7 linked regions of the Macaca mulatta genome follow. The protein of the gene in region 7 purifies or fractionates together with the protein of the main gene of each other region. This does not show direct contact. Links are inferred from orthologs where the notes say so. Each region holds a gene or a part of one and is shown on either strand. Other genes may lie near its edges. The genes, in order: GAB2, DNAJA3, CD44, CDC37, ATXN10, AP2A2 and EGFR.

Region 1 (3,945 bases), on a different chromosome or scaffold from region 7:
ATTTTTGTATTTATGGTAGAGACGGGGTTTTGGCCAGGCTGGTCTCGAATTTCTGACCTCCAGTGATCTGCCGGCCTCAGCCTCCCAAAGTGCTGGGATTACAGGCATAAACCACTGCGCCCAGCCTTCGAATTAAATCAGTTTTTTAAAAAATCGTTTTAAATAGTTATAACCTAGTTCATCAACTACTTTTTCCCCTTATCTCATATGCTTGTGGCATTCTTATAAAGAGGATTTCTCAGTACAATATAACATGACTATGATGTATACCAGAAGCAGCAGCTACTTTGGGGTAAATATACAGCCATTAGGCTGGGAAATACTTTCCAAGTTTGGTTCTGATGAACTCGGGCCTCTACTGAAATAAGCAAACTAGCAGAGTTTTAACTTACAACAGGATGCAAAAATTCTTAATACCCCCAAAAACAGTAGACGTAAAAGAATACTGTTCCCCGGAAGCTTAAGGTTACACAGATCAGCAGTTTCAACTGGGGGGAAACTGAACTTTCGAAAGGGCAGAGGCTTCCAGTCATGTAAGTGAACACATCACATCCTGGCCTAAGAAAAGCTGTTACTGAAAGCTGTTAAGGTCTGACACCTGATGGGCTGAAGGTGCATCGAAGATGGGAAAGAGAGGCTAAGGCCATCACACGATTCTAGATTCGTTCAAATGAGTGAAAAAGGTGCTTGACCCAAATGCCTCCAAACCTGGTTTTTTTGAACTAAAGTTGTTTGGGAACAAAAACACCCAAGAAATGGGTCATAAAGAGAGTCTGGGTGAGCGTTCAAGGAGCGGTAAGTCAAATGGAGATACAATGTCATACTGTTTGCAAATTGTTTCAAAAACAAGTTTCAAGGTTTAGTGTAGTGTTCAAATTTGAAAACTAAGGGTCACTTTTTCTTTTTTTTTTTACTGTGGACACTCTATTCCACTAGCTTGTATGGAAATCTATTTGTAAAGATAATTTTTGGAAGCTCTTTGGGACAAAGTTTTAAAAATATTTATTAAATTGTTAATAGTAAATCACTGCTCCTTAATCCTAATTAAAGTATTCAACCTTCCTAACGAACTGATACAAGCCTGAAGAGGAAAAAAGTGTATTTCTTAATAATTATACTTTGGCTACATAGACACTCCTAAAAATGAGCTTTCAAACTGAGATGAACAATTCACTGCTTCATCCCTCCTATAAATCCACGTCCACTTTCAAAAGTCATGTGCTAAATCAGAATTTTTTTTTTCCTAGCAAACATCTACGTAAGAGCCTGATTTCATTGACACACACACTTGCACTCCGCAACAACAACACTTCCTTTGAAAAACAGAATGTCACTTCCTCAGTCCAGAGGCCAGAAGTCCCTTGATTCTGATCTGGGGAGCCAAGACAGGAAATTCTGGTAGGCTTCTGCTTCTCCCCCCATGGACAGCCACTGGTGCAGCTGACAGAGGGCAGGGTCTATTCCGAGCTCCCTTGATGCACTGCAGCTGGAGGCAACGGCTCCCTTCCAGGCTGTGGGAGTGATCCCGGAGTCCGGCACCACAGCCCGTTAAACAAGGGCATTTCATGGGAAAAGGAGAGGGAGCAGATGAGAGACCTTGAAACCTTCCAGCCACCTTACCCCCACTTCCAAACTCCCGCGACTACCCTAGGACCATTTCGGCAAAATCTCAGTAACTGGCACCATCTTGTACTTTGACCTCACCAGGCAAGGCATCCTCTGGGGAGAGGGGTTAAAAAAAAAAAAAAAAAAAAAAAGCCAGAACTCCACGGCTCAGCGCCACGCCGTTCCACCTCCCCCAAACTGCCAGTTCCCCACCTAGAGGGAAGAGGCTGTTCCAGCGATGTCAGTAAACACTGTGGGTTGGCAACACCTGGGCGCCGAGAGCCTCGATCTCTCCCGACCCCAGACAACCGGGAGCTGCCAGGTCCCAAACCCGGGCCAGCCACGGGGACCAAACTGCAGTGTCACACCGGGGTCGGGGGAGGCGCCTGTGAGAGACGAACGGAATAAAGGGAGAGAAGGGGGACAAACAAATGAGTCACTTAATACAAGGGCTGCACATGCCGCTGACGCTGCCGGTGATGCAGCCGCGGACGGAGTGAGGCCGGCGGCCGGGAGGGGCGGGCGGAGAAAGGGAAGGAGAGGGCGTGAGGCGCTCGCCCTTTGTGGGGCCGTCCGCGCGGGCCCACAGCCTACGCCCCCCTTTCCCGCCCTCTCCCGGACCTGTGAGCTGAAGCTGCTAGGGGCCGCCGCGGAGCCCCAGCCCCGAGAGTCAACTCTCTCGGTCTCCAGAAGCCATCAATACAAACTTCGACACTATATTTAGTTTACGGGCAGACCGCCTGGGGAGGCGCCGACGCCGCGCCCGCCTGGCGGAGCAGGAGCCGCAGCCTCAACCTGCCGCCCGCCCCGCCCCGCCCCTCGGCGGCGCACCTGTGACAGGTGTGCAGGTACCCCACACGACCCTGGCCGCTCCTCGCCCCCGGCCCCCGCGGCTCCGGGCCCGAGCTCCCCAGCCTGCCGCCCCTCCGGGAGCCCCCCGCCCCTCCGCAGGCCCCGGAGCGCCCCCCGCCCGCCCGCCCCTCGGCGGCCGCGCCCGCACTCACATAGCGCCTCAACTTCTTCTCGGGAGGCGATTTCCTCAGCCAGCCGGTGCACACCACGTCGCCGCCGCCGCCGCTCATGCTGCCGGCCTGGAGCCCGCCGCTGGGTCGCGCGGACTAGGGCGCGGGCTCGGGCAGCTGGGGCAGCGGCCGGCGGTGCGCAGCTCGCGGGAGGCCAGGGGCGGGGCGGGCGGCCCGGCGGGGACTAGGCGGCGCGGCGCGCGCCCGGCGGCCTCGCGCGCGCCCGCTCCCCCGCCCCGAGCGCGCGCAATCCGCACTCTCCGCCGGGCCGCCGCGGGGGCAGTTGCAGCGGGAAGGCCGGCGCGCTCGCCACGCCCGCTCCCGCCGCGCCCCCGAGGCCGCCGCGCACGCGGACGCGGGGCTGGGGATCCGCCAGGACACAGAAAGCCACCGCCGCCGGCGAGCCCCGGAATCTCGCTTTCTCCTGAGGCCTCAAGCTGCGGGCGCGGAGGCCGGGGAGGCGGCCGCGCCCCTGGCGCTGGCGGGCGTGCGGAGAAGGGACTGCGCGCCCTCCGTCGTCGATCGATTTTTCACCGAGCGTCGACGGGGAAGGGATCCGAGGGTTGCTCGCGTTTCCGATCCATTCTGCGGGTCAGGTTCCTGCTGAAAGGAGGGACCCCTTCCCAGTAAGAAGTTCCTTAACTCTGGCGCCCCTCGGCGGGAGGAGGAGACGGACCTACTACGCGCCGGAGCCTTTGCACTCTTGGCTTACAGGATTGTCTTCAGTATTGTTCCCATTTTATGGACTGCCTAAGGGCAAGGGCTTGTACAAAGCCTAGCCAAGTTTCCAATTCAGGTGTGTGGGGGAGGAGGGGTCCCAGTCATCCCCTATTCAAAATGAGGGCATTGCCTTAATGGGATCAACCTGGGAGCCTCTCATTGCCTGGAAACAAAGTCCAGCTGAGTCCCTCCTACATTGCCTCTAGGAAAACAGTTTAGTATAGAAAACTCGCATGATTTGTAGAATGGAAGAAGCAAACCTAGTAAATATATTTCATAGTGAATTGGAAGGCAAGGTCAAGTGTAGAAGAACAAGAAATTGGGGTCCAAATTCCCCAACGTCCCCGCTCATTGACAGTGTCTCTCCAAGCAGCACTAAAAGGCAGGTCCTCCCTAACTTCTCTGATAAGTGGATAGTATCCTGTTTATTCAATGGGGAACCGTGCTGTGTGGACAGATGAATTGGAGAAGCAGCATCTTGCACTGCCCCACACAACCTTAGACTAAAGCTGTTTTGTTCATTTCTGTCTCTGTGCAGCTGAGATGTTTCAAGCAGTTGGACATCATTTGGTCCAACAGATCTTGATTGGGTTGGGGG
Region 2 (3,935 bases), on a different chromosome or scaffold from region 7:
GCCTGGGCGACAGAGCGAGACTCCGTCTCAAAAAAATAAATAAATAAAATAAAATAAAAATAAAAATAAAATAAAAATAAAAATAAGGCTGGGCACGGTGGCTCATGCCTGTAATCCCAGCACTTTGGGAGGCTGAGGTGGGCAGATCACCGGGTCAGGAAATTGAGACCATCCTGGCCAACACAGTGAAACCCCATCTCTACTAAAAATACAAAAAATTAGTCAGGCATGGTGGCGGGCACCTGTAGTCCCAGCTATTCGGGAGGCTGAGCCAGGAAAATGGCGTGAACCCAGGAGGCGGAGCTTGCAGTGAGCTGAGACAGTGCCACTGCACTCCAGCCTGGGTGACACAGCGAGACTCCGTCTCAAAAAAAAAAAAAAAAAAAAAAAGTTCATTCATTCTCTTGGCCAGGTGCAGTGGCTGATGCCTGTAATCCCAGCACTTTGGGAGGCTGAAACAAGCAAATCACTTGAGCCCAGCCTGGGTAACATGGTGAAACCCCATCTACAGAAAACTAGCTGGGTGTGGTGGTGCATGCCTATAGTCCCAGCTACTTAGGAGGCTGAGGATGGAGGATGGATTGAACCTGGAAGGTCGAGGTTGCACTGAGTTGTGATTGTGCCACTGCACTCCAGTCTGGGCAACAAGAGGCCCTGTCGTAAACAATAATTAAATAAATAAATAAATAATCATTCTCTCAACCAAACACACATCCAATCTCTTTGTTCTCTGCCATGTCCTCAGCACCCAGAACAGTGGCTGGCATACACCTGGCCTCAATTAATACCTGTGAATGAATGAATTTTCAAAGAGAAGCTCAAAGGGATTAAATAATACACCCCACTCACACACACTGGGAAAGTTCACCCCTGAAGCCCAGTCTCTTTTCTTTTTTTTTTTTGAGACGGAGTCTCACTCTGTCGCCCAGGCTGGAGTGTAGTGGCCGGATCTCAGCTCACTGCAAGCTCCACCTCCAGGGTTCACGCCATTCTCCTGCCTCAGCCTCCCGAGTAGCTGGGACTACAGGCGCCCGCCACCGCGCCCGGCTAGTTTTTTGTATTTTTTTAGTAGAGACGGGGTTTCACCGTGTTAGCCAGGATGGTCTCGATCTCCTGACCTCGTGATCCGCCCATCTCGGCCTCCCAAAGTGCTGGGATTACAGGCGTGAGCCACCGCGCCCGGCCCCCAGTCTCTTTTCTTTACATTGCATGAAGTAACCACAATTACTGATACTTTAACAACTGTCTACTATGTAAGTATTACAAACTGGATTGCAATAGGAAGTTACTTGGTATAAATTCTCAGGGCCCTTTATTAATCTTTATACATTTATACATAGCTTAAATATCATCTGCACAAATTCTGGAGGACACGAAACTAGCACAATTCAGGTACATACAATATACAGCACAAAACACACAGCATAAGAAAACATGGTTAAGCAGGGCACGGTGGTTCACGCCTGTAAACCCAGCACTTTGGGAAGCCAAGGGGGAGCAGATCACCTGAGGTCAGGAGTTTGAGACCAGCCTGGCCAACATGTAGAAACCATCTCTATAAAAGACAACAAAAATTAGCCAGGCGTGGTGACATGTGCCTGTAATCCCAGCTACTTGGGAGGCATGAGGCAGGAGAATCTCTTGAACCCAGGAGGCAGAGGTTGCAGTCAGTTGAGATCCAGCCACTGCACTCCAGCCTGGGCAACAGAGCAAGACTCTCACAAAAAAAAAAAAAAAAAAAAAAGAAAGAAAGAAAAGAAAACATGGCTAAGCACTTCAAAGCTTAACGTATAATTCAGTATCACCTCAGGCAATGAAATCAAGGCTCCACCTCTTTGTGACATTTGTAAGTGGTTTAACATCTAAGCCTCGGTATCTTTATAAAATGGAATAACAGTGCCTCTCATGTGGAAATGTGATGTAAGGGGGGAACGATGCCTGGCCAACAGTAAGTGCTCAATAAATGTCTGACTGTGTTATTATTACAATCACCAACTAAGGACTTCTAAAGATTGTTAACTGTGCCCTTGAATTAGCATCACGTGGTAGAAAGAGCATACGCTAAGACACGACAGCTATGGGTTTGAGACAACTCTTCCCGTCTAACTTCATGACCTTGGGCTGGTCGATTCCTCTGTTGAATCTCAGTTTCCCATTCTCTAAAATGGGGATGACGACAGGCATCTTGCAGGGTTTTTGTAACAAAGTACCTAGGCCTCTCCGAATGGCAGTTAGCTCTTCCCTTCCGCTACGGGCCAGAAGGTGGAGAGATGGGAAAGAAAGCGGACGAGGGAGCAGCGGCCCCCAGAAATGTTGACAGAGAGGTGAAGGTTCACGGTCTACGGGGCGTTTCATCACCGCCGCCGGAGGCTCCACGCTTCTCTCCCTTCCCTGACGGCTGAGTAGCCTCTTAGGCCTCCCCGCCTCCTGCCTGCCTGTGTCTCCGGCAATTTTGCATCCGGGTCGGAAGACACCCTCCACCCCACTACTCCCGCAGCCGCAGTCACAGCGAGGAGACTCACTCCTTTCTAGGCCCTGAAACCGCCACTCGGGAATTGGAACCTGCCCTCACCTGTGAGGCTGACACCAGGTCTCAATGTCAGCAGCGCTCTGGGGCCGCGAGAGGTCAGGGAAGACGCAAAGGCGGGGACGCTCAGCTTGCGGCTCAGCCATGCCCCCACCACGCCCTCCCTGGGTGGCCGAGCCCCTCTCCCCAGTGCAGCCGGCAGCCGCGGGGTCCCCACAGCCACCAGCAACCAGCGTGTGGAGCACCGCGCCGCCATCTTGGCCGGGGGACACTGCGCCTGCGCCGCCCGGCTCTAGGGGGCCTCGCGGGAACGGCGGGCGCGCGTTAGAGGCGCATGCGTGGCGCATGCGTGGGGGCACGCGCAGCCGCACCCAACGCGCCTTCCGGGGAGCAATCGCCAAAACGGGGTTTGCTCTGAAGAGTGTTGTTCGGTAGACTTGCCCTGCAGAACCTCGTTATTCTGTGCTAGACAATCAGTGAGTGTACGTTATCGGTGTAAGAACCTGGTTGAATGTAGCCGAACGTAACTGGTCCGAGGGTTCTGGCTAAGGGCGAGACTACAAGTCCCGGCATGCAAAGCGGCCCTCCGTCGCGCCGCTCCCACTATGCAGTGCATGGTTCCCTCTTGCTGACCCTGAGACTTACGGCGAATTGCGTGAGCTTTACTCACGTGGTCTCCGCGCGCTTCTAGTAAATCTTCGCCGCCACCCCCAAAGCCTGGCCGGAGTCTCACTTTCTCTTAGGCTGATTCCCCACCCGCCTTCTCTAACAAGACTCAGTTCTCTCCTTTTTTTTTTTTTTCCTTTGGGCACAGTCTCGCTCTGTCGCGGCTGAAGTGCAGTGGCGCGATCTCGACTCAATGCAACCTCCGCCTCCCGGGTTCAAGCAGTTCTCTGCCTCAGTCTCCCGAGTAGCTGGGATTACAGGCGCGTGCCACCACACCCGGCTAATTTTTTTGTATTTTTAGTATAGACGGGGGTTTCACCATCTTGGCCAGGCTGGTCTTGGAACTCCTGACCTCGTGATCCACCCACCTCGGCCTCCCAAAGTGCTGGGGTTACAGGCGAGAGCCACCGCGGCAACCTTAGCTCTCTCCTTAAGCATGTTAGCCTTTTCCAAACCTGCAGTGAACTTGCTGGTTCAGAATGGGAGCCGTGCTGCCCAAAAACTAAATTAGCAAAACTTGTGAGCGCCTACTGTGTGTCATGCATGTTCTAGAATATCGGGGATACAACGATGCATGATACACCATCTTTGCTCGGGAGGAGCAAACAAATGACCCGAGAGAGGCTCCTTACCAACTAATAATGTTAAATGCTATCATAGGAATAAGCACTGTTACAGGCATACAAAGTGAAGGAGTCATTCCATTTCTAAAATGGGGGAGAGGAAGTTTGGGATGTCAGGG
Region 3 (3,500 bases), on a different chromosome or scaffold from region 7:
CTATTGTCAAAAGGTGGTGCTTGGGGTGCATTAGGACTAGAGGGTAGGTGAAAATTCAGACAGAATGTAACTTGACAAAGAGAAGACAGTGAAAACTGTAACAATTCTCTTATGAATATTTGCGAAACTCAAAGGGATCTGATTGGTGACCTCTGGTCTTTATCAAATTAACATCACAACTTCTAGAAGAAAGTCAACCTTCATCTTTTACAATAGAAATCATATGTTTTGTGAACTCATTCCTATTTAGGCTGAAAACAATAAAGAGTTATGGGTACTTTAAAAACTCATTAAAGTAGTGATAGAAGGAGTATAGAGTCCTTCTATGCAGTCACACACATACACTTCCTTATTTCTTTTATTTAAACTTTGAGTAACATGGCAGTCTATGTTTGGGTCAATATTCCTTTTTATGTAATTACATTCAGTGGTTTTTCTAACTTCATTATTGGTTGGGAATTAGTGATTTAGTCAGTGGTAGGTAAAACTTAAGATTCTGGCTTTTTTCCCCTCCCCCTGGATAGCCAGTTAACCCAATAATGGCTTGGCCAATGTAAGGGTAAAATGAGGACTGTTCTATTTTTTAAATGTCATTGCCGTCACCAAATCACACATATCATTTTCTAAGATAATGAAATACAACCATTTTACAAGTTACAAAAAAAATACTCTGGCTTGGCAAGTTAATAGGCTCTCATTTTCTTGATAAAACAAAATTGCTTTAAGTTGCTATAGTTAAAAATGTTGGTGGCTTTCTGACTTTTCCTGAAGGCACCTTGATGGAATTTTATTCTGTTGATTTTGTCCTTTTTAAAATAATGGTTGAAATTTTAAGCCTGTCACACACTATTATTTATATAATGCCTCAAACTGGCTTGGATAGTTTTTGTCAACTGAATTAATTTTGTTAAAAAGTGATTTTAGCAATTTTAGGCGCCATATGAACATTGCCACATAATGTGTTAGTGAAATAGCATTCAAGCCATCCCAACACCTTTCCTGCTGGGCAAATCCACTGCTGGTGCATTTCCAGTGTGTGCAATTATGGGTTACATGACCACCATTTGAGACGGTCTCCTAATGCGCTGATCTTGTCAGTTGTTATACAGTATTTTCCTTTCATCAGAATGACTGGAGCGAAGAGGTTATTCTTTGAATGGTTTTCTAAGACAGGGTATGTGACGCCATACACTACAGTAAAATAAAAATAATGATAACTCATAGAACTCTGAGAATTCATCAGCTATGGTCTGCTTAGTCCTATGGTTTTGAACAAATCAAAACCTCTTTGGACCACAATGTTCCCATCTGAAAAATTAAATGTTTGGATCATTTTATTTCTAATATCCCTTTCAGAATATCAGTGGCCTGTTTCCTTGCTGCTTTTCTTTTCTACCTTCTGTTCCCATGTGTATCTGCCCTTAAAGTAGAAAGATACGTTGACAGCTATTGGCAAGGAAAATAGAAAATTATGTCTCCCAACTGATATTCTTCTCACAGTCCAGGCAATTCCTAGTAGTACAACTGAAGAAACAGCTACCCAGAAGGAACAGTGGTTTGGCAACAGATGGCATGAGGGGTATCTCCAAACACCCAGAGAAGACTCCCATTCGACAACAGGGACAGCTGGTAATGGGTGGTTTAACAAGTAAATTTGGATGGCAACTTCCTTTTGGGTTAAATGGTAGACATTGAGGACACTGAACAAAAGGACATTGGAGGAATTGTCACAAGATGTTAGGTTACTTAATAAATTATGCTGCAGTTAACACAGAGCCAAACCTTAAAGGCTCATAACAAGTCACCTGAACAGGAATGGATACAAGCCAGTTACGAATAAGAACAGGAAACACAGAGAACATGCCCTTGAACATGTCTCTTTCACACCGAGTTCTGGGCATTATCTAGTGAGATTGTAGCGGAGGCCCTGATAAAATATCCCCTTTTGTCGTACAAAGGAATCTACTCTAGAATATGGGTCCAGACTTTACAATGTGATTCTGCAAAGTCTGACTTGTGAGAAAGCATTTTGCTAGAACTCCAGTGTTTGAAGAAATAGAGCCAGACATTATGTGAAAAATGACACCTGTCTGATGTCATTTGGCCTTTTGGCCATGCCTGTTTGGTAATTTGTCCTTGAGTATAAACAAGCCATCTTCTCTATTCTTGAACTGTGAGATTGTGGAAATTGGAATCAAGTCTTATCATCATCTCTAAGTGATACCAGATGACTTGGCTCTGCAAGCTCCCATGCAGGATATTTTGTCTGTGTGACATAAGTATTGAAATGTGTCCTGCCTTATCAAGAATGTGAATTCCATATTCTCACTTGGTATCAGTGAGAAATATTCCCATATTTCTATTTGCAATATAGAAGATAATACGTCATGTACTTCTGGGGCATGGCAAGTTCTGAATGAATTCCTGGCAGAGCAATGGATTCTGTGACTGTCTATGTGGTGTGGTTGTTGCTAAGAGGATGCTGTTGCAATCTTTTCTACCTATACTTCCTCATTGGCTCAGAATGAAGCAAGGCATGTGCTGCTTTCTTATATGTCATTTATGCATATTCTCACTTGGTATCAGTGAGAAATATTCCCATATTTCTATTTACAATATAGAAGATAATGCGTCATGTACTTCTGGGGCATGGCAAGGTCTGAATGAATTCCTGGCAGAGCAATGGATTCTGTGACTGTCTATGTGGTGTGGTTGTTGCTAAGAGGATGCTGTTGCAATCTTTTCTACCTATACTTCTTCATTGGCTCAGAATGAAGCAAGGCATGTGCTGCTTTCTTATATGTCATTTATGCCATAAATCCCGTTGTCAGGTAATGCTTCTAACGGATTCCATTCATGCTTTTGAGATAAATGGCACTGACTTTCATATTGATCACATGGAAAGCTGTTACCTGATTCCTTTCCTGAGATCACTTCCAGCCTAATGTGCATTCAGCTGGAATATGGTTGTCTCAGAATAACATAATGCACTTGGGCTTTTACACTTCTGCCATTAGGGTACGGTGGCAGCATGGCACAGGTCAAGAACTACTCCTTCATCTTCCTATGATGTCTGTAACTCACCCTCTCTGCACTGCAGGAGTCGTTAATGCTTTTGTGTCCTCCAGTTCACATGCTGATTGCTAAGAAGAAAATGAGCATGAGTGAACCCAAACCTGCTGAAACATTTTGCGTTTATGCAACTTCCTTGCCCTCTATACAAGGAAGATGGTTTCATTGTCTTGTCTAGAGAATAAAGTCTTTTTAAACAATAAAATCAGTGTATTCCTGACCAAGCGTCCATTAACACTTTGACAATTGCTCCAACTGCATGGTCTCAGCAGCCTCAGCTCTTACCAGCCATCCAATGCAAGGAAGGACAACACCAAGCCCAGAGGACAGTTCCTGGACTGATTTCTTTGACTCAATCTCACATCCCATGGGACGAGGTCATCAAGCAGGAAGAAGGATGGGTAATAGCCTCTGAGATTTTTATATAT
Region 4 (4,051 bases), on a different chromosome or scaffold from region 7:
ACAAATCAAAATTAAAAAAAAGAAAAAAGAAAGACAGACAAGGTCTTGCTATGTTGCTCAGGCTGGACTTGAACTTCTGGGCTCAAATGATCCTTCTGCCTCAGCCTCCTGAGTAGCTAGGACTATAGGCATGTGTCCCCACATGTGGCTGTGGAAGTTTTTTTTAACCATTCACAAAAATTATTTAAATGATGATGACGGTAATAGCTACTGCCCCAAAAGGATTACAAATATTAAACGAATAAGGTAACCCTTACAACAACCCTATGGGGTGGACATCATTCAGATTCTCAGGTGCTCAGGCACAGAGCAATCAAACAATTCCCTGGCACTCACGCAGCATGTGAGTGATACACAGAGCTGAGATTTGAACCTAGTCAGGCCTGTGCTCAGAACCACAGCGATCTCTCCTTCCCCTCCACAATGCTTCCTTCCAAACCTGCCCCAAGTTTTCCTGCCCAGTCTTAATTTATTCTTACAAAAGTCTCAGGGAGGTGGGGTCATAGTATCCCAGGTTTCATACGGGATCAGGGAGGCCTGAGTCTTGCCACATCAAAGAAAGAAAGAAGCAGCAAGAGGCAGGACTAGGATTGGAACGCAAGCTTGCCTGTCCTTGAACCTGTGCTGGAGACGCTGAAGCCCCCTGCCTCCCTTACGTGCCACTACAACCACCGGGTTCTCAGCGGTAGGACAGGAAAAGCTCCGTGCCAGAGGGAGGAGGGTGTGGCAGGTACACTACGCTGCAGGAGGGGGGCCCTCCCACTCGGCAGGACCAAACCATTCTCCACAGTAGTAAAGATTAACCTCTTTATGTGACAGAAATAGGTCTTCCCAAGAATAGTCTTTGGAGCTTTGTGGAAGTCTTAAATATTTCATAATAAAATGTTACACACGGCAAGAAATAGAAGCGCTAGAACTTTCTTCCCACACTCCAGTGGCTTGCTTGGCAGGTACACTACCCAGGAGACTCAGGATTTAAGGAAGAGGTCTGGAGGTGGGACTGGGAGCTAGATAAAGAGACTAATGCCGTATTCTGGAGTATTCCAAAATGATGGGGAAGGGAACTTCTAGTTGTTTCTTGGATAAATGATGGGGAGTTGTCCTATGAGAGGGTGGGGTAAGAGATCCTCACTAGAAGGTTCTGAAAGGTATATGCCCTTAGTTTAAGAGTACAACATGGCTGGGTGCAGTGGCTCACGCCTGTAATCCCAGCACTCTGGGAGGCCGAGGTGGGTGGATCGCCTGAGGTCAGGAGTTCGAGACCAGCCTGACCAACATGGAGAAACCCCCGTCTCTACTAAAGGTACAAAACTAGCCAGGCGTGGTGCCGCATGCCTGTAATCCCAGCTATTCAGGAGGCTGAGGCAGGAGAATTGCTTGAACCCGGGAAGCAGAGGTTGCAGTGAGCCAAGATTGTGCCACTGAACTCCAGCCTGGGCGACAAGAAGGAAACTCCATCTCAAAAAAAAAAAGAGTACAACAGACACTGATATGTGATTTGGGGTAGCAGGAGGTTAAACCTTTAAGTCTTAGTCACCCCATTGGCTTGTGAGCACTGAGGGGGTGGTAGGACATGGATCACTCAGACTTGGGATTCTGGGGTCTGGATTTGGGGGTTCTGTTGTGGTCCGATAGAAGAAGGGGTAGTGAATTTAGAATCAGACCAGGAGTCCCTGGAAAAGAGCAGGGACAATTTGGGTCACAGAGTAGCGATCAGGTTGGGGATACAAGGTGGGGTGGGTTTGGGGTCCTGGGCTTGAGTTAGGGGAGTTTCCAATGCTGGCCAAGGCTCATACAGGAAGCCAGTCTGGGAGGTGGGTGGTGACAGGGTCTGCAATACCAAGTAGGGGCAGGGGCTCTGGCTGGGCCGGAAGCCACGTGGGCAGGATTTCCTGGTCTAATGGGAAATGGGTCTACCCGAGGCCAAAGGAGAGGCTGGAATGTGAGGCTCTGTCGGGGTGGAGCTGGTAGTTAGATCCAGAGGGGAACCAGGTTCCACAACCGAAGTCCTCGGTGAGACTAAGGATCCTGAAGGGGGACGGCTCTACACTCTAGGAAGGGGGTCCCGGGTGTGGGCAGGGACAGGAATATCAGAGTAGCACAGAGTTCCTTGTACCGTTTAGAAAAGGAGTGGCGACTCCGGATCTGAATGGGAACCCCGGATCAAGATCCCGGAAAGTAGATCCCAGGACAGACCAAAGTATTGGGGGTCCAGACTACGGAGGTGGGGGAGGGCGACGTGAGATCCCAGATAGGGAGTGGATACCCGAATAGGATGAGGGATCATCTAGAAGAATTTGGGGACCAAACTTTGAGGCAGAGTTCTGGGTGTAAATGTTAACTCCGAACAGAATTAGGGAGACTCGTCTAAGGGAGTCCAGACTGAAGAAGTTCTAGGGGGTGAATAGGGAATCCCACGCAAAAATCGGAGCAGGGGGTTGGGGGGAGATCCCGAGCAAGGACTCAGGGTACCAGTGGTACTGGGGTCCTGGAGTTGAATCGAGGCTCCTGAAAGTCCAGACTGAGGGGGTGAGAATCCTAGGTGTGAACAGTGGGGTCCCTAGGCAGTATCGGGGACCACAACTCTGGAGCGGGGTCCGGGAGTGGGGAAAGGGATGGGCGCGCGCGCCTTACCTGATGCCGCCAGCGGAAGAGGCTGGCCGTGTCGATGTTGGGGTGCGTCTCGTCTTCATCATCAGACACCTCAATGTGGTCCCACACGCTGTAGTCCACCATCTTGCCTTGGCGGCCCAGCCCGCTACGGCTCGGTTGGCGGCGACGGCGGCGGCGCTGGAGACTTGGTGCGCGGAGCCCCGCCCCTTCCGCTTCCGCCCGAGTGCGGGGGAAACCCCGCCCATGCCTGACGTCACATCCCTAGTAACCGCGGCAGCGGCACTGGCTACCCATTCTGCCTTAAAGGGCCTTGCGCAAGCGTTCCAGTCCCCTGGAGTTCCCGCAGAGACTCCACCTTATCGGGCGCAGGGGCTCCGCTAGGTCTCCTGGGGGCATACGAGTGGGCACTTCAACTCCTAGCCCCCCTCATCTCCCGCCTCTCCACGGTGGGCGTTTGGGGTGGCAGGGAGAGGACGGTTGATGAGACTAAGAGGACTGTCCCCTCAGCTACGCCGCAGTGACGTCTGCAAGGGGTACGGACACGGCGGGAAGGCCCTCCCCCTGCCCTTCGTAAACGGGGACCTAAGCCTGCTCTGGAGAGGGGCGCCTGACGACTCCTGGGACTTTCTCAGCCCGAGGAGGACTGGACCTGCCCTGGGGGTGTCTAAATCGAGGGTGGTATGGCCCTCCCCTTGAGGGGTTAAACATAGAGGGGAGATTGTGGCTCTGCCTTGGGAGCCTTCTCCTCGTCCTCCAGCTCCGGCCATTAGCAGCAAGGACTCGCGCGCGCGCACATACACACACACACACACACACACACACACACTTTGGAATCACCCGGACCCCCCATAACGGGTCTCGGCGCCCCACCCCGCGTGACCGCTGGGTGTCGCTAGAGTCTAGCCTACGGCGCGTATTCCTGGTCCCGCGCTTGGTGGGGGAATCTTGGAGGGGTGGAAGGGGGCTTTCCTTTTCGTCACAGTCTGGGGTCACGCATAGTCCCTCCCCGTTTGTCTGGGGGTACCCTTCCTCCGCCGGGGCTCTAAGGACTCCATTACTCTAAGCATGCAGGGCCCTGGCCTCACACTTCCACGCATCCCAATCCGCGCTTTTATACCAGGATAATAGGCCGCGTTGCAGTCTCGGGCCAGGATTATTTTAGATTAAAGGGTGCTCCATCGGGGGTCAGGCTGGATAGGAGGAGCTCCAGCCACTCGGGTGAGGGGCGCCTCTTCCCAGTCTCCCCTGGAGCCGACGTCGCAGGCGGTGCCCGGAGAGAGCGAGCGAAAGTCTCCAGATGGGGGGAATTCCCCAGTGCATGGAGGGGGAGGGGCCATCGGACAAAAACGCCCTCCCGCTGCCGCCCCTCCCCCTCGCGCTTCATTCAAACCCGCGAGTGGGCGGCCAGGGGCGGAGGAGTCCCCATCTCCTCCCCCTC
Region 5 (3,995 bases), on a different chromosome or scaffold from region 7:
TAAATAATGTCAGAAAAAAAGATGTATAAAGAGCTAGGAAGCTGGAGAGATGAAGAAATACTAGAGAAACCATGTAAGCTGAATCTTAAATAATTATATGAGCACTAGACAAACAAAGGTGGAAGTACATTCCAGAAAATGAAGCACCAAAATATAGCCTCAAACCAGCTGGCTTTATATATGAGTTCTACCAAATGTGGAGAAAAGATGTAATCCCTGCCTTATACAAGAAGCTTCATAAAATAGAAAAAGTTTCACTTCTGATAATGTCACACTAAGTTATTTAAAGTTATCCTCTGAATGAGAAAAACTTGTATTTTAAACCCAAATGAAATATTTCAAAAACCTCTTTGTCACCTGGTTGATCCATGCAACCAAAACATCTGACTTGGGATTAAGACAGACCCAGAATGGTGGCACATGAATGCAAAAGATGCAAATGAAAAGCATCTTTGGAAGAATGTGCCATCCTAAGCATCAAGTCATTTCTACAAATACTTCTCAAATAGAGTGAACAACACAAAAATAACTCACTCTACAGGGAAACCAGATATTATAAGAACCAGCGGAAGCAACATACAACAGAAACTGATCCACAAAAACTTAAGCTATTGGAATGAAACATGGCAATGACACAACAGATTTACTATGTTCAGAGAAATAATTTGGCCGGGCTCAGTGGGTCAGCCTGTAATCCCAGCACTTTGGGGGGCCGAGGCGGGCAGATCACAAGGTCGGGAGTTCGAGACCAGCCTGGCCAACATGGTGAAACCCCGTCTCCACTAAAAATATGAAAAATGAGCTGGGCGTGGTGGCATGCACCTGTAATCCCAGCTACTCAGGAGGCTGAGGCAGGAGAATTACTTGAACCCGAGAGGGAGAAGTTGCAGTGAGCTGAGACTGTGCCACTGCACTCCAGCCTGGGCAACAGAGTGAGACTCCATCTCAAAAAAGAAAAAAGAAATAGTTCAAAAGTCCAAGCAAGAAATTGAACTATAAAAATTGAAATAGTGTATTTATATAATAAATAAAAATTCTGGAACGGAAATGAGAAATAACACAGTAACAACTCAATTGATGTGATTAAAACAGATTAGAGAGAACCTAAAGAGAGAATAAATGAACTAGAAGATTTAGAAAGAAACTATCCAGAATGAAGAAATTAAAATACAAAAAATACAGAAGAGCTAAGAGATGGAGAAAGTAAGTGGAGAAAGTCTAACACATGTAACTGGAGTCTCAAAAGGAGAGAGAAACAGGACAGAGGCAATACATAGGATAATAGCTGAGAATCTGCCAAAACTGATGAAAGATTCCAAACCACAGATTCAAGAAGCTCAATGAACAGAAAGCAGAATACACGGAAAGAAATCTATATAGAGACACACCATGTATTCACATGCAGTGAAGTTGTGGAAAAAGACAAAGACAAAATCTGATAAGAAGCCACAGGGGAATAAAAAGACAGTTTATTTTTAAAGGAGTGAGGATTGGGTAAGCTGCATTCTCCACAGAAACACTGGAAATCAAAATAGTGGAATGCGATCTTCAATGTGCTGAAAAATAAAAATAACTGCCAACAGATCCATGCTAAAGGAAATACAAAAGAGTGTGAATTAGAGACAGAAACAATCCCAGATGGAAGATGAGAGACACAGAAAGGAATAAAGAAGACTGAGAATGGTATTTACCATCAGCTTCATCTAAATGAACATCCAATGTACAAAACAATCATAAAGCGACAATGTCTCATAGGGTTAAAAATAAAAAATTGAAATATTCATGACATGGCTCTGCTGCAAACCATCATAACACTACCTGGGACTTTTGCCTTCTGCTGTCCCAGCTTGTGCTCCCAGGCTTCTCAAAAGACCATCTCTGTAGGAACAGGCCCAGGTTTATCTCCTGCCTAAGGACCTCCTCTGCCTTACACTTGCCAGCAGCCAAGATCACGGAAAGTCAAAGGCCAGCAAAGAAAGAAAATCCATTGACAGGGAAGAAGGGAAATCCATTGAGAACAGTCTGTAAAAGCCAGAACTGTTTTTTATGAAGTGAGCTTTTGTCAAGTCAATCAGTACCAAGCAATATTTGGATATTATCGGCACTCTGTGCTCCCTCTGCCTGAACTGGGAATTCCTCTATTAGTTTTGACATTATCTGGTATTGAACCTCAATTATAAGCATCTGGTAGAAAAGTATGGAAGAGGCCGGGCGCGGTGGCTCAAGCCTGTAATCCCAGCACTTTAGGAGGCCAAGACGGGCGGATCACGAGGTCAGGAGATCGAGACCATCCTGGGGGAACACGGTGAAACCCCGTCTCTATTAAAAAAATACAAAAAACTAGCCGGGCGAGGTGGCAGGCACCTGTAGTCCCAGCTACTCGAGAGGCTGAGGCAGGAGAATGGCGTGAACCCAGGAGGCGGAGCTTGCAGTGAGCTGAGATCCAGCCACTGCACCCCAGCCTGGGCAACAGAGCAAGCTCCGTCTCAAAAAAAAAAAAAAAAAAAGAAAACTATGGAAGAGAAACTTGCAAATGCCATTCTGAATGGGGTCATTATTGAGACAGAGACAGTGGTTTAGGCCAGGGCTGTTCAAAGTGCTCTGCAGGTCATGACAAGCTTCCACTTCTGGGTAAGATGGACAAAGACCCTACTTGGTGACCCCCCACACAAATGTGCTTCATAGTAAATAGTCATAAAACCTAGATATACTACAAAGAAACAACCACCTGAAGGGCTTGAGAGTGAACAGAAGCAGACTCTGATGAGGAGTACCTGCTCACTTGGAGGAAGGGAGATGCGGAGCTATACAAGTAGGTTCACATCTCTGTAGCTTTTAGCCTGGGACGTGGATGTGCACAGCAGTGGTTGGGGGCACATGTGCAAAACTCTGCATTCTTTCTGGCCTGGGGAAGCATAAAAGTAAATGTATGAAAATATGAACACTGAAGAGAATGGGAAAAATCCCAAAAGGGAAAGAGCCAGAGAGGGTGCTGTGGTTTGATGTTTCTCCTCTCCAAAACTCATGTTGAGATTTTAATCCCCCATGTGGCAGTATTGACAGGTAGGGCCTTCAAGAGGTGATTGGGTCATGAGAGCTGTTCTCATGAATGGATTAATCTATTCACAGAATAATGGATTAATTGGTTATCGTGGCAGTGGGTCTGTGGCTTTATAAGAAGAGGAAGAGAGACCTGAGCTAGCACCCTCAGCCCCCTCACTATGTGATGTCCTGCACTGCCTTGGGACTCTGGAGAGAGTCCCCTTCAGCAAGAAGGCTCTCACCAGATGCAGCCCCTCAATTTTGAACTTTTCAGCCTCCATAACTGTAAGAAACAAATTTCTTTTCTTTAGAAATTACCCAGTTTCAGATATTCTGTTATAAGCAGCAGAAAATGGACCAAGATAGAGGGGATCCCCAAATTAATTCTATCCATATAGCTAACTGCCCACTAAATAAACCATATCATGTGGTATAGACCCAAAGTAGCTCAACTAAATACTAAAGATCTGAACTACCCCTGAAGAAACAGAGTTTTCAGCCCAAGCCCACATAAGAAAATTGTCTATGAAAACAAAGGAAACAACACTCCACAGAGGAAAACAACAGAATCCAGAATCCCCACAGCTTACTATTAATAATATCAAAATACAATCCAAAAGTTACTTGAAAAACAAATATGAAATTGCAGAACATTCTCAAGAGAAAAGAAAATCAAATCCATCCATGAGATGAACTAGATGTGAGAACTGACAGATTTTAAAGCAATGATTATAAGTAAATTAAATGAGGTAAAACAAAACATGACTTCAGTGAATAAAAACCTCAAGAGAGAAATGATCAATCTCAGCAGAGAAATAGAAATTATAAAAAAAAAAGGGCTGGACACGATGGCTCATGCCTGTAATCCCAACACTTTGGGAGGCCAAGGTGGGCAGATCACTTGAGGCCAAGAGTTCAAGACCAGCCTGGCCAACATGGCAAAACCCTGTCTC
Region 6 (3,946 bases), on a different chromosome or scaffold from region 7:
TCCTAGCCGGGCTCCACCAGGGCTAAGCTCTCATCTGGGGTTGTGCAAGTGAGCCAGGGTGGGGCAAAGTCCTGGCTGGTGGGTCTGGGCCAGTTCCAGGTACAGGGTCCAGATCCCCCCACTCCCGGAGGAGGGAACTTCCTCTTCAAAGCCATCTGGCTCTGGGAAGGACAGCGAGGCAGGGCCATGTGCTTCCGCACTCCCTGGGGTCTCTTCCTGGCCTAGGCCCAGAGCTGTGCAGCCTGGCCCAGAAGGTCCTCCCTCCCGCTGCGTCCACGGGGGGTCCCTAGGCCTCCAGCTCGCAGCGGTGCAGAGGGCCGGGGAGCAGAGGGGGCCCTGGCAACAGTGGCAAAAAGTCCTGGCGCTGAGGGACTGGATTCCACAGTGAGCTGCAGCCCCGGCCGCCATCACTGGGGTGGGGTGGGCGGTTGTTTCTCTGCAGGCCCAGGTGATGTGGTGGGGGCGCCTGGACTGCCACACAGACCCTGGGTTAGGTTGGGCACGGGGCCCGCCTGGCCCCCAGCTCGGGGACCGCAAGAGATGTGGCCCTGGCCGCTCAGGGCGGCAGAAGGGGCGGCTCAGTCCCAGTCTCAGGATACTGGGCTGGGGGAGGGTTTCCTCCCCAAAGGCTGTCCCGAGGCTGTGACCCCTTCGCCCAGAGCCCCGGCTTCCTCCTGGCGCCGCCCTCCCGGCCCTGGCCCACCCCGGACAAACAAGGCCCTGGCAGCGAAGCCCCTCCACTGCCCAGCGCTCACAGGTTGTTTATTCCAAGTAGGAAAACGGAGACCTGCTCGGGGCAATCTAGGGGGGCCGACGCCCAGGGCGAGGCTGCAGCGTGCGCCTGCGTGGTCGCCTCTTTTGCAGTGACCACCAACAATGAAGACGGCGGCTGTCCTGCTCACGCAAGTTCCCGCCCGGATCCACGCCCTTCCCGTGGGGGACGCGGGCGGCAGCGCCAACCCGGCGCGGCATCGGGACGCGAACCCGCGGCTCCAGCGGCTCCGTCCGTGGCGTCCGCCTGCATGGGGCGCCCCCGCGCCTGCCTCGACCGGCTCGTCCCCGCGCCGCGGACGCGCGCGCGCTGTCTCACGCGACACCCGCCCCGGCCGCCGTCCGTCGCAGCTCGCGTGCGTGCGCGTGTGTGCTAGTGCGGGCGTCGTGCGTGCGCGCGCGCGGCGGCCCAGAAAGCGGCGCTGGGAGCCTGAGGCGGCGGTGGTTAGTCGGCTCCCCGGCGGCTTGTCCGCGGCGCTGAAGGCGACCGTGCTCCCCGCTTCCCGCTCCCAGCGCTTCTCCGCCCAGGCCCGCCAGCGGAGGCCGCTCCCGAGCGCCGGAAGATGCCAGCCGTGTCCAAGGGGGACGGGATGCGGGGCCTGGCCGTCTTCATCTCCGATATCCGCAACTGTGAGTGGCGGGGGCGGCGCGGGGCGCGGGGCGCGGGGCCGGGGCTGTGGCCGGGGCCGCAGGCGGCTACGGGGTCTGGGAGCGGAGGTCCGGGGTGGGGGCTCGAGGCGGGGGTGCAGGCTGCGATGCGGGCGGGGCCCGGGGCCTGAGGGTGCGGGCGGCGCTCGGGGTCTTGGGGTACCGGGTCTGGGAGTGCGCGCCAGGGTGCGGAGTGGGGGTCCAGAGTTTGGGGGTGCGGACTGCGCTCAGGGTCTTGGGGTATCGGGTCTGGAGGTGCGGGCCAGGATGCAGAGCGGGGCCCTGGGTCTGGGGTGCGGGGTAGGGGGTCCAGGGTTTAGGGGTGCAGGGTCTGGGGGTTTAGGGTACGGTCCTTCATTCACATCTTCACTCCCGTTTGCTGGTCCGCGCGGGGGGCTGCGGCACCGCCAAGGGGGTTCCGGGCCAAGACGCCCCTCCCCAGTATGATGTCACCTCGGTCTTTCTAGTACTGGAGTGTTTAACCCAGCATTTTCCAAAACGGCGTGGATTTTAGCTCTGGGAGCAGAAATCTGGAAATCGGTGTCTTCCTAGGAAACAGCTTTGTGAGCTGGGTTCTGGCGGCTTATTATCCCCTGATTAGATCTCGCCCACGACGATTGAAATGACTCATTCCCGGAGGGAATCTGGACACGAGCAGGCAGTCAGCAGTCGGGGTGTGGGATGGCCTGGCTGCCTGCTGCTCCAATCACAGACCTCGTTCTCAACCCCATGCGTGTCCCCTCGGGGTGGAAAAAATCCACACCAAACCGTGAAACAAGCCAGGAAGGCTTGGCCTGTTAGGAGGATGTGCAGGGTGGCGGGGTGGGTGCACCGGTCCACAAATTAATTTGACTTTGGTGTGCAGAAACTTCTCTTGAAACAAAGCCGATTTCCTGTCTGGTGTGTTCATTTTTTTCCTTGTTATCCAGCAAATAGTTGACTTCATGGTTTTTTGTTTTTGTTTTTTTTGAGACAGGGTCTTGCTCTGGCGCCCAGGCTGGAGCGCAGTAGTGCCATCACGGCCCACCCAGCCTCCCAGCTCAAGTGATCCTACCACCTCAGCCTCCAGAGTCGCTGGGACTACAAGCGTGCACCACCACCATTTTCGTGTTTTTTGTAGAGATGAGGGTCTCATTGTGTTGCCCAGGCTGGTCTCGAACTCCTGAGCTCAAGTGATCCACCTACCTCGGGCCTCCCAAAGTGCTGGGTTTACTGGCGTGAGCCACTGCACCCTCATAATTTTTAGTGTATATTTTGAGGAATTTTTGTGATCTTCCCTTTGAATTCTCATCTCCTTAGACTGGGTGGAGGATCAGGAGGATGGTCATTCTCCCACACTCTGTGTAAGGATAGAAGTCCATCTAACCCTTCCCCTACTCTTTTTTTTTTTTTTTTTTTTTTTGAGACAGAGTCTGGCTCTGCCGCCCAGGCTGGAGTGCAATGGCCGGATCTCAGCTCACTGCAAGCTCCGCCTCCCGGGTTCACGCCATTCTCCTGCCTCAGCCTCCCGAGTAGCTGGAACTACAGGCGCCCGCCACCTCGCCCGGCTAATGTTTTGTATTTTTAGTAGAGACGGGGTTTCACCGTGTTAGCCAGGATGGTCTCGATCTCCTGACCTCGTGATCCACCTGTCTCGGCCTCCCAAAGTGCTGGGATTACAGGCTTGAGCCACCGCGCCCGGCCAGCATAGAGCTGGGTGCAGTGGCTCACACCTGTAGTCCCAGCACTTTGGGAGACCAAGGCAGGTGGATCTTTTGAGCCCAGAAGTTTGAGACCAGCCTGGGCAATGTGGTGAGACCCTGTCTCTACAAAAACCATGAAAATTAGCCGGGCGTGTTGGTGTACACACCTATAGTCCCAGCTACTTGGGAGGCTGAGACAAGATCACTTGAGCTCAGGAGGTCAAGGCTGCAGTGAGCTGAGATCGTGCCACCGTACTCCAGCCTGGGTGACAGAGTGAGACCTTTGTCAAAAAAAAAAAAAAAAAAAAAGGCTTAGAAACACAGCCTCAGATCAGTACTTTTACGAGTAGCATTTTTTCTCTTGCTTTGTCACGTAATGAGACTAACATGCATTTTGTAAAACTAAGTGTGTGTATTATTTGTTAAGGGGACTCCTCGGGACAAAGGCTGAGCACTGTTAAGTTAGCTGCGATGTCTGTCCTTTCATTTTTGAGGAAAATTGTGTTAGGCAGGACGATGAGATTGGAAGGCATTTCCTTAGACAACAAGTCACCCGCTTGTTAGATATATTGTCTGTGCGAGGGCCTGCGTTTGACAGGATGGCGCCTACCACAGGGAGCGCAGTACAGCCGTCCTCCCTTATTTGTGGTTTCACCTTCTGAGGTTTTAGTTACCTCTGGTCACCTGTGATCTGAAAATAGGTGAGCACAGTACAATAAGATATTTAAAGACACCACATTCATGTAACTTTTATTACAGGATATGATTACAGTTCTCTTTTATTATTGGCTGCTGCTAATCTCTTATTGTGCCTAATCTGTAAGTTAAACTTTTTCCTAGGTATG
Region 7 (3,500 bases):
TAGAAGACTCATCCCTTCTTTGATCCCTCATGGGGTGACAGGCATGGAGCAATTAGAGCAGCTCCTTAGAGATGATGCAAGAAGACGCACGAACGCTGGGGGCACCTGTGAATATGAGCTCTCAGCTCCTCACTTTCCTTTGACCTCTGTTTCCAAAGGCCACATCTGAAGCTGGGGTCATGGGGTAAGGTCTTCCAGGAACCTGAGGAAGAAACAGCCGACAGGCTCCCTGAAGGGTATTAAGGCCAGGCTATCAATCAGGAAGACCTTCAGGGATGGAGTCCAAGCTTTGAGAACTGACGAACAGGGCTGTTAGGTGAAAATCATGGGACTTTGGGCAGCTCCTCTCCCGACCTGCCCACCATGGTCGCCAGATCCGTGGAGAGGCCAATGGCTTTGCGGCTTGTACCAGACAGAACTGTGCCTCCCTGGACAGATGAAGTGAGAACTATTTTGGGAAGTACAATCTTAAAATTAATACATTTAGCAACTAAACTTTATGGTGGATAATTAAAATATGAAGGAGAAGAAAGCTAGAATAGCTGTTGCTCTTTTATTATGTTAGCGTTTCAAACTACAAAAATACTAGAATTTAATGCTACAATGTGACTCGCTTACAACTGAGCTGCCTCATCAATCATCTGCTTCTTGACACATACGTGACAGCAGAATGTGAGTCCTGTTTCCCAGTTCTGACTGAAATATTTCTGTTTGTCCTGAGGTGAATGAATAATGGAAGTGGTTTACTGACGATACAAAATCTCAGATTCTTAGAAATGTTGCGTAGTCTTCTCACTAAGCATGTGCAGAGATGATAGCTCAAAATCCCCGTGGGGGATGCAACTTTTAGGGATCTTGCGGGATGAGCCAAGCTCATCCCCTGGCTTAGAGGGAGCAGGTTGCTCGGGCGACTGACCTCAGCCTTATGCGGACTTCAGCAGTGAAGGCGTCTGGCAGCTGTTTCCTTGATCAGGGTGCCCCTGCTGCACCTGCACTTTCCACCTCCCCTGTGGCTGAGACCTGGTCATCCTCCTGTGAGGCCTCCCTGATGAACCTTCCAGGTCTCCTCAGGCAGGACCCAACCTTCCTGCTCTGTGCTCTCACAGTGCCTGGCTGACGGGTCCTGTCTAGCATTTGTCAGGTTGTTTTAAGGTTAGCATCTTTGAGTCCATTTCCTTTGCTAAATTGTAAATTTCTCAGAATCAGGGACTATGTTTTATTTATCTTTGTACCTTTCATACCCATACCACGTTAGTATAGGTGCTTAGGGGTATTTGAGAGCATAATAGAGTGGAAATGAATATAATTTTATTTTCATTGAGACAAAAATCAAATACTTTCTTAACAAAGCTGTAGGGGCCCTGACTGATCTGGGAGTCAAAAAATACTTTAAAAGCAAAAGGAATATTTTGTATGTGTGTGTGACTGAACATAACTGTAGGCTGAAAATATTTTCTGAACCATTTCTTCCTTGATAAATTGGATGGGATAGATATTGACTAGGGGAGTTTAAAACACTGTTTACAAAGGGCTGCTGTTAACCAGTCAGGTTACAGGGCACACACAGATTAAGAAAAAAGGTGGGATCCTAACTAGCTGAGTCTTCCAATTGTAGAGAAATTATTTTAGCAAGGAACTTTTTTTCTTCTAAAACATCTGCAAATGTTGTGAAAGCATTATCAATTTCAAACCCTAGTTTCATATTTACTACCTGAATTCCACATTACTCATAATGCCACTCTCATTCGCACCTGTAAAATGTCCCGTTGTGGCCAGAGCTGTAAGTGCTTGAATAGCTGACTCAGGGCGGAGACACTTTTTGTTTGACAAAGGGTAAGGATGGGGTCTGGGGGCAGCTGACCTGGAGGGAACATATACTCTGAGTAAATAGCTTTTAAAGTGAAGTAAAAGGAGAAAATTATCTTCCATGAGGAACCCAAACTAATTTTGGGGGGTTGGGGTGATGGCTAAAGGAGATTTCAGAGCAGCTTCATTTTTGTGGTCTCCTGCTCTATGCCCCAAAGGACCTGATGCATTTCATCTGAGCCTCAAATCAGGAGATATGTTTTTGCGAGAACAAAAGCGGTGCTATCCTTAGGTATTCCACATTCTCAGCTGTGGGCTATTGGTCTGAATGCCGATGAATCCAATGTGGGCTGGAATCCGAGTTATTATTTGATGTGTCATCCTCTCTTGCTGATTCCATGACAGCAAGACAGGGGCAGCATACTGAGTTTCAAAACAATGGAATGGAAGACAAACAAGTCAGTCTAACGCTCACGACTGGAAACCACTAGTCAACCAGTGGGGAGTAAGTACCGTGGGGACATTTTTACAAAAGTAAGTCTAAGGAAGAATTCTATCCCCTCCATTTCTTTTTTGCCCAGGAAGGGACAGAGTGGCTTATCCTATTGTACCTGCCATGACTTGATACAGTACCGATCCGGCCTGCTGGGGCCATGAAGGGCTTCTTGGATCTTTAGTGTTTTGCAGTGGAAGCCTTGAAGCACAACCACTGGAATCAAGCGTCCACTGGAAGACTTGTGGCCTGTGCTCCTTGCTCACAGTTGGGCCTGGATGAACTCAGGGTGGCAAGTGCTACCAGCAAGCTTCTTCTTTGTTGGAAGAGCCCATGGAAGTAAAAATGAATAGTGACAATGAAAAACTCCAAGATCCCCAATCAATAAAAATCCTGACATATACTTTTTTTTTTTTCAAATATACTTCCTTGAAGGATAAACTTCTGCTCAAAGGGACAATATTCTTGCTGGATGCGTTTCTGTAAATGCTTCACAGTTTGAAGACAAAGGAATGCACCTGCAACTTCCCAAAATGCGCCCGAGGTGGAAGTACTTCCTGGCTGATCGGTGTAAACGTTGAGAAACCAGTCTGTGGGTCTAAGAGCTAATGTGGGCATGGCTGTTGGGATGGAGGACCCGCTGTGGCTTGGTCCTGGGTATTGACAGAGTCTGGATTTTAAGGGCTCATGCTGTCCTCCGTGGTCATGCTCCAATAAATTCACTGCTTTGTGGTGCGACCCTTAGGTATTCTGCATTTTCAGCTGTGGAGCCCTTAAAGATGCCATTTGGCTTGGCTTCCTTGGGAAAGAAGTCCTGCTGGTAGTCAGGGTTGTCCAGGCTAATTTGGTGGCTGCCTTTCTGGGCCCAATGAGCAGGGCTGTCGAATGTGCTGTTGACACAGGTGGGCTGGACAGTGTTGAGATACTCGGGGTTGCCCACTGCGGTGCTGTGGGGGTCCTGGTAGTGTGGGTCTCTGCTGGGCGCAGGGTTCAGAGGCTGATTGTGATAGACAGGATTCTGCACAGAGCCAGCGGGCCTTTTGGGAACAGACTGGTTTATGTATTCTGAAAGTGGAAAGAAATCAGAGGTGAAGTAATCAGCAAAGCACCATCCCATGCAAGATCCCCGGGTTCTGAACCCCATGAATGTCTTCAACAGGGAGATTTATGACAGGGAGCAGGAGCCTTGGGAGGACCCTCT

What was found.
Region 1: the proteins of EGFR (region 7) and GAB2 purify together in Homo sapiens (co-immunoprecipitation; 3 studies listed by IntAct). This does not show direct contact. The link is inferred for Macaca mulatta from reciprocal best matches to the Homo sapiens genes EGFR and GAB2.
Region 2: the proteins of EGFR (region 7) and DNAJA3 purify together in Homo sapiens (affinity purification with mass spectrometry; 4 studies listed by BioGRID and IntAct, with this or other methods). This does not show direct contact. The link is inferred for Macaca mulatta from reciprocal best matches to the Homo sapiens genes EGFR and DNAJA3.
Region 3: the proteins of EGFR (region 7) and CD44 purify together in Homo sapiens (affinity purification with western blotting; 6 studies listed by BioGRID, with this or other methods). This does not show direct contact. The link is inferred for Macaca mulatta from reciprocal best matches to the Homo sapiens genes EGFR and CD44.
Region 4: the proteins of EGFR (region 7) and CDC37 purify together in Homo sapiens (affinity purification with mass spectrometry; 6 studies listed by BioGRID and IntAct, with this or other methods). This does not show direct contact. The link is inferred for Macaca mulatta from reciprocal best matches to the Homo sapiens genes EGFR and CDC37.
Region 5: the proteins of EGFR (region 7) and ATXN10 purify together in Homo sapiens (affinity purification with mass spectrometry; 3 studies listed by BioGRID and IntAct, with this or other methods). This does not show direct contact. The link is inferred for Macaca mulatta from reciprocal best matches to the Homo sapiens genes EGFR and ATXN10.
Region 6: the proteins of EGFR (region 7) and AP2A2 purify together in Homo sapiens (affinity purification with mass spectrometry; 6 studies listed by BioGRID and IntAct, with this or other methods). This does not show direct contact. The link is inferred for Macaca mulatta from reciprocal best matches to the Homo sapiens genes EGFR and AP2A2.

Annotation. Positions count from the first base shown.
Region 1 is NC_133419.1:78,843,459-78,847,403, forward strand, and holds the start of GAB2 (GRB2-associated-binding protein 2), read right to left. Parts: upstream 2,801-3,945; 5' UTR 2,688-2,800; coding exon 2,610-2,687; intron 1-2,609. UniProt on the Homo sapiens protein: Adapter protein which acts downstream of several membrane receptors including cytokine, antigen, hormone, cell matrix and growth factor receptors to regulate multiple signaling pathways.
Region 2 is NC_133425.1:5,674,691-5,678,625, reverse strand, and holds the start of DNAJA3 (dnaJ homolog subfamily A member 3, mitochondrial), read right to left. Parts: upstream 2,801-3,935; 5' UTR 2,784-2,800; coding exon 2,573-2,783; intron 1,860-2,572; exon of another isoform or gene 1,845-1,859; coding exon of another isoform or gene 1,723-1,844; intron 1-1,722. UniProt on the Homo sapiens protein: Modulates apoptotic signal transduction or effector structures within the mitochondrial matrix. Affect cytochrome C release from the mitochondria and caspase 3 activation, but not caspase 8 activation.
Region 3 is NC_133419.1:30,082,684-30,086,183, reverse strand, and holds part of CD44 (CD44 antigen), read left to right. Parts: intron 1-1,500; coding exon 1,501-1,629; intron 1,630-3,341; coding exon 3,342-3,473; intron 3,474-3,500. UniProt on the Homo sapiens protein: Cell-surface receptor that plays a role in cell-cell interactions, cell adhesion and migration, helping them to sense and respond to changes in the tissue microenvironment.
Region 4 is NC_133424.1:11,129,779-11,133,829, forward strand, and holds the start of CDC37 (hsp90 co-chaperone Cdc37), read right to left. Parts: upstream 2,801-4,051; 5' UTR 2,737-2,800; coding exon 2,635-2,736; intron 1,453-2,634; exon of another isoform or gene 1,230-1,452; intron 1-1,229. UniProt on the Homo sapiens protein: Co-chaperone that binds to numerous kinases and promotes their interaction with the Hsp90 complex, resulting in stabilization and promotion of their activity. Inhibits HSP90AA1 ATPase activity.
Region 5 is NC_133415.1:5,818,441-5,822,435, forward strand, and holds the start of ATXN10 (ataxin-10), read right to left. Parts: upstream 2,801-3,995; 5' UTR 2,785-2,800; intron 1-2,784. UniProt on the Homo sapiens protein: May play a role in the regulation of cytokinesis. May play a role in signaling by stimulating protein glycosylation. Induces neuritogenesis by activating the Ras-MAP kinase pathway and is necessary for the survival of cerebellar neurons.
Region 6 is NC_133419.1:821,238-825,183, forward strand, and holds the start of AP2A2 (AP-2 complex subunit alpha-2), read left to right. Parts: upstream 1-1,146; 5' UTR 1,147-1,334; coding exon 1,335-1,401; intron 1,402-3,946. UniProt on the Homo sapiens protein: Component of the adaptor protein complex 2 (AP-2). Adaptor protein complexes function in protein transport via transport vesicles in different membrane traffic pathways.
Region 7 is NC_133408.1:73,278,915-73,282,414, forward strand, and holds part of EGFR (epidermal growth factor receptor), read right to left. Parts: intron 3,365-3,500; coding exon 3,003-3,364; 3' UTR 1-3,002. UniProt on the Homo sapiens protein: Receptor tyrosine kinase binding ligands of the EGF family and activating several signaling cascades to convert extracellular cues into appropriate cellular responses.